Linked DNA regions of Mus musculus: region 1 is reported to be linked to region 2. The links are microRNA targets in miRTarBase. Many come from high-throughput screens and were not tested one by one. Region 2 holds a microRNA gene; the other region holds the end of a gene's coding sequence.
What was found. Region 2 holds the annotated microRNA mmu-miR-3099-3p (UAGGCUAGAGAGAGGUUGGGGA, at 3,243-3,264, opposite strand). A microRNA usually pairs through its seed, bases 2 to 8, with sites in the 3' UTR of a target mRNA and lowers its output. Matches are read on the target gene's strand: a 7mer-m8 pairs with bases 2 to 8, a 7mer-A1 pairs with bases 2 to 7 and ends in A, and an 8mer does both.

Region 1 (4,399 bases), not on the chromosome of region 2:
GCCAGGGAAAAATGAGGTCCACATGGTGACTGGACCAATAGCATCAGTATCTTCTGGGAGCTTGTTAAAACATAAAGTCCCAGCTGTTCTAGGCCTACAAGATGACGGGCCCTCCATGGGAAGTCAGTCATCTGCATTTTACCAAGACTTCCAGAGAAGTCTGATCTGTAAAACATTTAAGAAGTGCCTTTGGTAAAGCAAACACAGACGAGGTGAGAGAGGCAGCAAAATCTCCAAGAATGCCCTCATACACTAATCTCCTTACACAATTCCATACCCTGCTTTAAAAACGCAGCTAAAATGAAATTGTAAAGGGATTCCATGTTAGATTTTAACTGACAGGCCATAAAGCTCATCGGTCACTAGTTGGACAAGGAGCAAAGGCCACTGGCTTTCCCAGGTGATGTGTGCCAGCAATCGTTTATTCCTTATGTCACCCACACACAGGATATACCATCTTTAATTTCAGTCCATTTTTATAGCAAGAATGTTTAAGAAAACCCTGGAGAGCGGTGAAAGAACTTGAATTTCTGATCCCCTCTCCAGTTGTTGCCAGCTTCATGACAACATTCTTGATGGCTAATGGGCTTTACCTAAATTCTATTTATGAAGCTGGTTTCTGTGTCGTGCACTGCTTAATGTTTTAGATTAGGAAATCCAGGCACTTAATTACCTTTGTCAGGTAGGACTTGCATATTAACTATCAATTTATGTCTACGCATCCTTTATTCCCCTTAGCCTTTTTAAAGATAACATGAGGTTGCTTAGCATCTATTGTAATACTTTGAGTACCCAGTAATACTTAAAATTGACACAAATCAGAAGAACCTCCTGATCTTTCCAGACTCGTCCTGTGGAATGTCTCAGCACTTCTGACTTCTAGCCTTGCTTCACAATCTCTCTGTGACGGCCACTGTCAACCGTGTGGATGGCTGTTAAGCTTTTTCTACCCAGGAGTCTGCCCCAAAAGCACACAGATCACTTCACAGAACTTGTAAACCAACTGTCTGCTCATTTTCTCATTTTACAACCATGAAATCAGAGGCCCAGAAGAAAAATGTCACTGAGCAAGTAAAGCAAAAACTGGAACAAACCACCAGTCTTCAGGGTATGCCCTCTTAATCACAAAGCGCCTCAAACCTTTAGCAATAGCAATGATTGAACATGGCTTGACAGTCATGACAAGGACAAGAAAGGAAATAAATACAGAGCACTTCACTTTCAATGGGGAGCAATAACTCCACTAGAGGGTGAACATATCAGGGACCAAAAATATTGGCAAATGTCGGTTTCCTTTCCTGTTGTGATAAAATAGCCTGATAAAGCAACTTGAGAAAGGGTTTTGGCTCACAGTTCAAGGCCATTCATCCTGGTGGGGAAGTCAAAGCAGTAAGAGCCTGAAGCAGCCAGTTACCTTATGCCCACAGTCCAGAAACAGAGAGGTGCATACTTGGTTTCCAGTGTTCAGCTCACTTTCTTCAATTATGTAGTACAGGATATGAATGGTGCAGCCCAAGGTGGCTGAATAGTCCCACCTCAGTTAAAAGTAATCAAGATCGTCCCCCACAGGCACACCAAGTTCCACTTCCCATGTCATTTGAATCCTGTCAACCTGACTAATCACAGTAGTTATATTGAAATGTACTTATATGTATCCCTACCCCCCATCATTACCTTAGAGTTTTTAAAATATGAATTCTACAGTACTGTAATTTTGTTTACGGACTGAGCTCTGAAAGGTTGTGTTTCTGTAGGCAGGGGATGATCGTTGGCCATCTTCTGTCCTGAGTATGATGCAAAGTGAACATCAGCATCTCACAAATGACAGCTAATGAGTTCAGAGAAATACTAAGAGCTAACATGTAACTCAGTTTGCACATACCTTTACTGCCAAAACTGATTCTGAATGACGTCATCTCCACAGATAAAACTTAAGTTTAAAATGTGGGAGGTGATCCAGAATGCATTTCAACTTATATAAAAGCCATCAGAGCAGTGAAGTTTTACTCCCTAGGCAGACTGAAGTAGAATCGAGCCACGAAGCAATCCTGAGTACTCAGTAACCTAGCCACAAAGCAACTCAGTACTCAGCAGGTATCTTTTCTAGAAGTGGTGAAAGGGCATAGGAAAAATTGTTGATCTTAATAATTGAGTTTATACGACAGTTGACTTTCACAATACCCTGTCACTATACACTTTAATTTACTTTCCAGTCCTAATCCAGTTGTGACCTGAGAAGGGCCAAAAGAGATTACATTCTTATGCAGTTTAAAATTATGTGATTAACAGATGAGACCACTGCTGCATTTAGTAAAGATAAATTTTTATCTCAAAAATTAAGTAACTACAAAAATCACTCTAAGAAGTTTCAGAACCTTTTAACTGTCAGCTTTATTTAAAAAATACAAATATTTTCACATGTTAGATTTTTAAAGCATCATACAACAAAGAAATCTACGTCAAATAACTCAAAAACACAAATTCTGTCCACTAAATGTTACAGTATTTAAGATAAATTAAATATTTTTCATATTATCAACATTTAAGAAAAAGCTATTTCTAAGGTGTTGCTATAATTAAAATAAAAACAACCAGTTTTCTTTTCTTTTTCTTTTGTTTTTTTAGAGAGAGGATTTTTCTGGCTGTCATGGAACTCACTCTGTAGACCAGGCTAGTCTCAAACTCAGAGATCTATGGAATGCTGGGGTTAAAGGCTTGTGCTACTACTGCCCAGCAAAACAACCAGTTTTCAACAGCAAACTCAGCACATGCTTAAAACATCAAAATGATGGTGAATTGGTGCAAACATTTCATATCTGAAAAAAAATGCACTTCTTGTGAATTCTAACACTTAGCCAAATATAATCTTATTCGTCAAAGAAACACTTCTGGCACTGTGATTGGAGCCCGGCTCTCAAGGTTTACATTACACGACTGGTGGCAAGCTCCAAGTAGGAAGAGGGAATGGGATGAGATAAGATAATTTGTCATCTTCTAGGGATGGTGTGATCAGCTTTTCATTGATAGTTACATATTGGGACAGAATTGAAAAAACAAGTATTTTGAAATTTTTATGTATCAAGTTGAAATTTCTATCAGGGTCAAATCTGAAATCACATTTAAACATAGACATATCAGTCTTGCAGACTTCATTCGGTATATACTTGTATATTTTGTTCAGACCAAAGGGATTTTAGAAATATTAGTTACTTTTAAAACAAGAACAAGTGCTTCTTATTTATAATGAATATAGTTAAATTATTTGGCAGGTAAAAGCATCACACACTTTCAGGTTTTATATCTCAAATACTCCTGAGGAAACAGTAAGAATAAAAACAACTTTTTATGCTTTTAAAACCTCTTTTTCAGAGATTGTTAAGATGTCTAAAGAAAATAACATGAAATACTGGACTTAGTGGGAAAACTAAGGAACTTATACCAAATAGGGAAAAAAATTAAACTGACCTATCATCTGCAATGGAAAATGTGATTCAAAATTTAAAGGAGCATGGCATCTTTGTTAAATACAAGATCAAATATGATCACTCACTCGAAAAGTACCCTCAATGACATTATGAGTGCATTTAGTTTGGGGAAAATAGTTTTAACAGCTTTCTCAGGAAAAAAGTTTCACTTTTTTCATAACAAACAAAATAACAGTTACGAAGTCCAGCGCCACCAAGCAACCTTCATTCTGTCCCATACTGCAGAGAATGAATCAAAGGCAGGACGCACATCCAGGATAGTGAACTGGTACTCCTTGTTCACCTCACCACCATCATAGTAATCAATCACATATCTAACTTCTGTGCCACAACGATTGATGATCCAGTCATGGCGGTCAAAAGGCAATTCATACCTGTAATGAAAACAGTTTGCTAAAATGCAGGTCTGTATTCTGTCTGTCTTGGTGGTAGCAGAAAGACAGAGTGAAAAACAGCACATACTCATTTGCAAATATCTAGCAGAGGAGATGAGCCTTAGTCAATCAGTCCATGGTGTTTAGAGAATATGGTGATTAAGAACTATGATGAATCCATGTCTATAAAGGAATAGGTTCATGGTAAAGAGGGCCAGGCCAGGCTAGGTAGAAAGCTGGAGAAATCAAATGTACTTAATAGTCCTATTACACTATAAGACAAGGGAGGAGTAAGGCAAGACAAAGAGCACAAGAGGAGTAAAAAGACAGTTCTGAAGACACCAAAAAAAAAGAACAATTCAATCCTTCCAGAGTGAAGCATGAAACCAGCAACCCAACCTTTATAATTCTGCCCATCTATGAGTAAACTCAAGGATATGAAAGAAACATAGGCTGGATACTGGAGATGTGGAAGATGGAATTGCTTTTCCTACACTGTTTTAGGTGATAGGAATGCTAACCATGGCTTAAGGAATATCA
Region 2 (4,399 bases):
ATTTGGATGGACTTGCTGATTTTGATAGGGACTGTGAGCTCTGGTTGGGACCTGCTGAGATTAGCAGTAGTACATTTGGAACTCTGGACAAAGACTAGCTCTTCTCTAGGTTTGTTTTTTTCCACAAGTGTGACTTTTAATAATATTTACAAAAAACACAATACCAGGGTGATGAGCGATGATAAGGAATAGGCTTCTCTGAGAGCCACACTAATCTTTATTACATTCTATTTATTTACTTTTGTGCATACCTCTCTTTGGGTGCCTTGCCACCTCGTGCAAGTCAAAATCTGAAGACAACTTGTGGGAGCCAGTTCTCTTCTTAAACCATGTGGGTCCTAGGGACCCAACTTCAGTATTGTCAGCATTTTTAACTGCTGAGTTACTCAATGTCCCCAGCCTAATTTTTCCAAACACCAAAGTTTGCATATCACTGGGTATTTTGTTTTGTTTTGTTTTTTCGGCAAATAGTTCTCAACCCCACCAGTTCTAAAATTGGGTAAATATCTTGAGAGCCCTCCAACAACAGAAAGACCTGTAGAACATGGACATCTGCATATACCCAGAGGATGCATTATTTAAATAAAAGTTTACTGGGCCAGACAAAAGAGATTATTTATTCTTGAAACACACACACACACACACACACACACACAAAACACACACACACTGAGAGAGAGAGAGAGAGAGAGAGAGAGAGAAAGAGAGAGAGAGAGAGAGAGAGAATAGTTTCATAGAGACATTATACTTACCGAATTAGAATGTCCTGTGAGTATGTTTGACTCAAATGAGTATTTGTAAATAATTCTTTAAGATACTTGGGGAAATATTTACAAAAACAAAGTGACGAATCCAATGATCCAAGCCTAGGCCTAAAGACTGCTTATGTTTTTCTCATCAACACAGAATTTCACAGATTGGGGACTGGAGAGATGTATTAGCAGTTCAGGGCACTGTCTACTGTCTGATCTTTCCAAGTACCCAGGTTCAGTTCTCAAAACCCATTTGGTGGCAAAGAACTATCTATAACTCCTGGCCTCCAAAGCCATTAGGGATCTGTGTAGTATGCATACATACAAGCAGGTGAAGCACTCATACCCATAAAATAAAACAAATCAATCATTTAACAATTAAAAAATTATTAGGTGCTTGTCAGGCTTATTTTTTTCATAACCAGATAACTTAAGGACCTTTTTATAAAAGCTCGTGTTGCTAGCCTGGCTCAGTGGATTTAGGGGGCTTGCCTTCAAGACTGACAGTCTGAGTTTGATCCCTAGGGCCCAGATTTCATAAGAAATAAAAAAGGTTGCTATGTGTTGTCCTCTGTATACCACATGTATGCCATAACACACATTAATGTATTAATACAATAAAAATTTTTTAATTATCAAAAAGCAAAATCATTTATTTGCGACATCATTCAAAAACTAAGGTAAATCTGGGGTGACTGTATCCCACAAAATCATCGTCAGGCAACGTGTGTCCCACAGATCATCCATTTGAGGGTGAAAAGTCTCAACGGCCCCTGAGCACATTGACAGATGTTCAGACCGTCCCAGTTGGCATTCTCATTCCTTCCCTGGGGCACAGCAAAAGCTGCTTCCACCCATCTGAGGGGGCTGACAAACTCTCCATATTGAAACACTTTCATAGGTGGAGTATTTCAGTTTTTAAAAGTTGTGGTAAGATACTCGAAACCTAAAACTTAGCATCTTGAAGTCCCACTCCTAACTGAGGAGCTATTGGCAATGACAGTTGCTGAGGGTAGGAAATTCAGTTTTCTTCAGGGGTACAGGACATGAAAACCAGCTTGCCCCGAGGCTCTCCTGTCTGGAATTACAGGTAGGCCACCATGTCCATCCAGTTTTCATGTGGGGTTTGGGGATCCTTACCCTGGTCCTCACACTTGCATATCCAGCTCTTTACCCATGGAGTCATCTCTCCAGCCTTTATAGTTGTAGCCCAAGCTGGCCTCAAACTCACATACCTCCTGCTTCTACCTCTGCAGTATGTCCTACCTGTATACACCCACACAAGCAGCTGGACCTCTTAGTGATTGTTTTGAAAGTTCATAAGGCTCAGTTTGCTGGATGAGGGCAGCTTGTGGCATGGCAATCTGCAGGAATCTAGTGTCTACTCTTTGGATTTCTGCTAGTTGCTGAAGAATGAGCTCCTCTGTCACTCAGCTGAGTTCTACCCTCTTGCCATAGCCAGGTAGATGTGACAGTTACTTGGTAGTTTCCTTCTTTCTTTCTTCCTTTCTTCCTTTCTTGCTTGCTTCCTTCCTTCCTTCATTTCTTTTCTTTTCTTTTTCTTTTTTTCTTTTTTTTGGTTGTTGTTTTGGTTGGGATTTTTGTATCTTTTTTCTCCTCCTCTCCTCCTCCTCTTCTTCCTCCTCCTCTTCCTCCTCCTCCTCCTCCTCCTCTTCCTCTTTGTCTTCCTCTTCCTCCTCTTTCTCCTCTTCCTCATCTTCCTTCTCCTCTTCCTCTCTTTTTTGCCTACACATTTTTACCTATACAATCTGGAATATCCCAATCTTAGATGCTTTCTGCCACTGCTTCCTCCTGTGCCCATGCCAGTGTCAGGTCTCATGAAGATGGATAAGGTGCCCCTGTGCAGCAAGTGTCTGTTCCTGACAAAAGCAGAGGCCAAGTGAGGGATCAAGAGACAACGGGTTAGGGGGTGTCATTACACCCTCCCCATATTTTCCTGACTCCCTTTTGATGTCATATTAAAAACTTCAAGTCCTCCAACAACAACTCACTGATTGGAAAAAAAAAATCTCTCTCTAAAAAGAAAAAAAAGAAAAAAGAAGAAAAGAAAAATCTCTTTACCCCCATGAGGAAAGTGTCATTTAGACAAGTTCATTCTCCTGCAGGCAGAGGTAGAAATTGAGTGAGAAGAATGAATGACTGAAGGTGGGGGCTTTGGTGAACAACTAGGATAAGAGATATTCGCTGTCAGCCAGACGATGGTTTAGCAACATGTGGTGCTTCATTTGAATCAGGAACCAGTTTTGGAGTCCTCATCCATCCCCTAACTTTAGTGAGCTTTCCAGGAGTGCTCTACTAGGCTCCACTTAGATGTATGGGCTCATGCTCTCTGAGTTATCAGTGTTTTCCTGCTAATTCTCATCAGATGAGAAAGGACTAAGTGTGAAGTTCTCGGGTCTCTATTGTCATTGGGTAGTCTCCCTCCACGTGGTCACTCAATCCTGCATTCGATGCTCTCATCTTTCCCCATCCCCAACCTCTCTCTAGCCTATGTGCGTACTAAAACATCAAGGGCTGGAAGGAAGCTGGGATGGGGATCGATCGTTCAGCAGGCTTGAGGTTTCCCTTGGAAGGAGGAAGAGTTCTGTGGAGATTGCCACTGAATCGAAACATTTTAAGACTGAGGGAGATAAGGAAACTTCCAAGGCTCAGGAGTCTTATATAACTTACAAGACTCAGAAAGCACAGGAAGTTAGAAGCACCACAAGGCCCTGTCCTATGTTTATGTAAGGCAGGAAATGATTGCTGTGAGAGAGGAGACTCTTTAGTGGCACTGCCTGCAAATCATGCAGGGAGCTCCCAGGATACAGGTTTCATGGGTAATAGCCTGTGTTGTGTGGCCTTTTCAGGGATGCAGCTGCCTAGGTCATCCTTGCTCCTATAAGTTATACCCCAAATTCACTGCTTTACCAACATAGACTGGTGAAATATTTTTTTTTAATCTTTAATGCCCTTTAAGGCGTGAATAGATGTTCATATGTGTTTCTTTGATGGGAAAAATCATACAGCCAAGGTAATGAACTTAATTGAGACAAATGTGATGTTGTACAACACATTTATTTGTTGTTTTGTTTTGTTTTGTTTTGACTGACAGGCATGGAGTCTTCATTCTGTAGGAAAAGTAAGTTCTAAGGTGCTACTGTACACCATGGTGGTGATAATCAGTAATGAGTTATGTTTATACTTGAAAATTGGTGAACACCTTTAATCCCAACACTCAGAGACAGAGGCTGGCAGCTCTCTGAGATCAAAGCCAGTCTGGTAGTCTACAAAGCGAGTTCCAGGACAGCCAGAGCTACACAGAGAACAAAATAACCCTATCGCAAAAAAAAAAAAAAAAAAAAAGACAGCAACAACAGAAAATTGCTGAAAGTTCTTAAAAAAAAAATGATGGATGCATAATGGATAGGTAAGCCAATCTGACTGAGAAGATACTCACACAAAGAATATATGTAATTTGAACATCATGTTGCGCACTGTAATTGTATATAGTTTTCTGGTTATGATAAATTAAAAATAGTCAAAGTTTAGGCTATGTGAGTTTCAAAAATGGGTGTTCCTATGTTTTCTCTTTAGAGGAATTTGGGGTAGCAGCTATATTGGACTCTGTGGCATTTCCCTGGAAG

Region 1: the mRNA of Hccs is a reported target of mmu-miR-3099-3p. Seed matches in the 3' UTR shown: 7mer-m8 at 2,669-2,675.

The regions. Positions count from the first base shown.
Region 1 is chrX:169,309,164-169,313,562 of GRCm38, forward strand. It overlaps Hccs (holocytochrome c synthetase), which reads right to left. Exons shown (of 7, transcript NM_001331049.1): 7 at 2,367-3,859. The coding sequence ends at 3,661. Among named protein-coding and RNA genes, the nearest start is that of Hccs, 9.0 kb to the right of the region's middle.
Region 2 is chr7:6,802,503-6,806,901 of GRCm38, reverse strand. It overlaps Mir3099 (microRNA 3099), which reads right to left and starts at 3,315; the gene lies at 3,232-3,315. The region is part of intron 2 of Usp29 (ubiquitin specific peptidase 29); the gene reads right to left.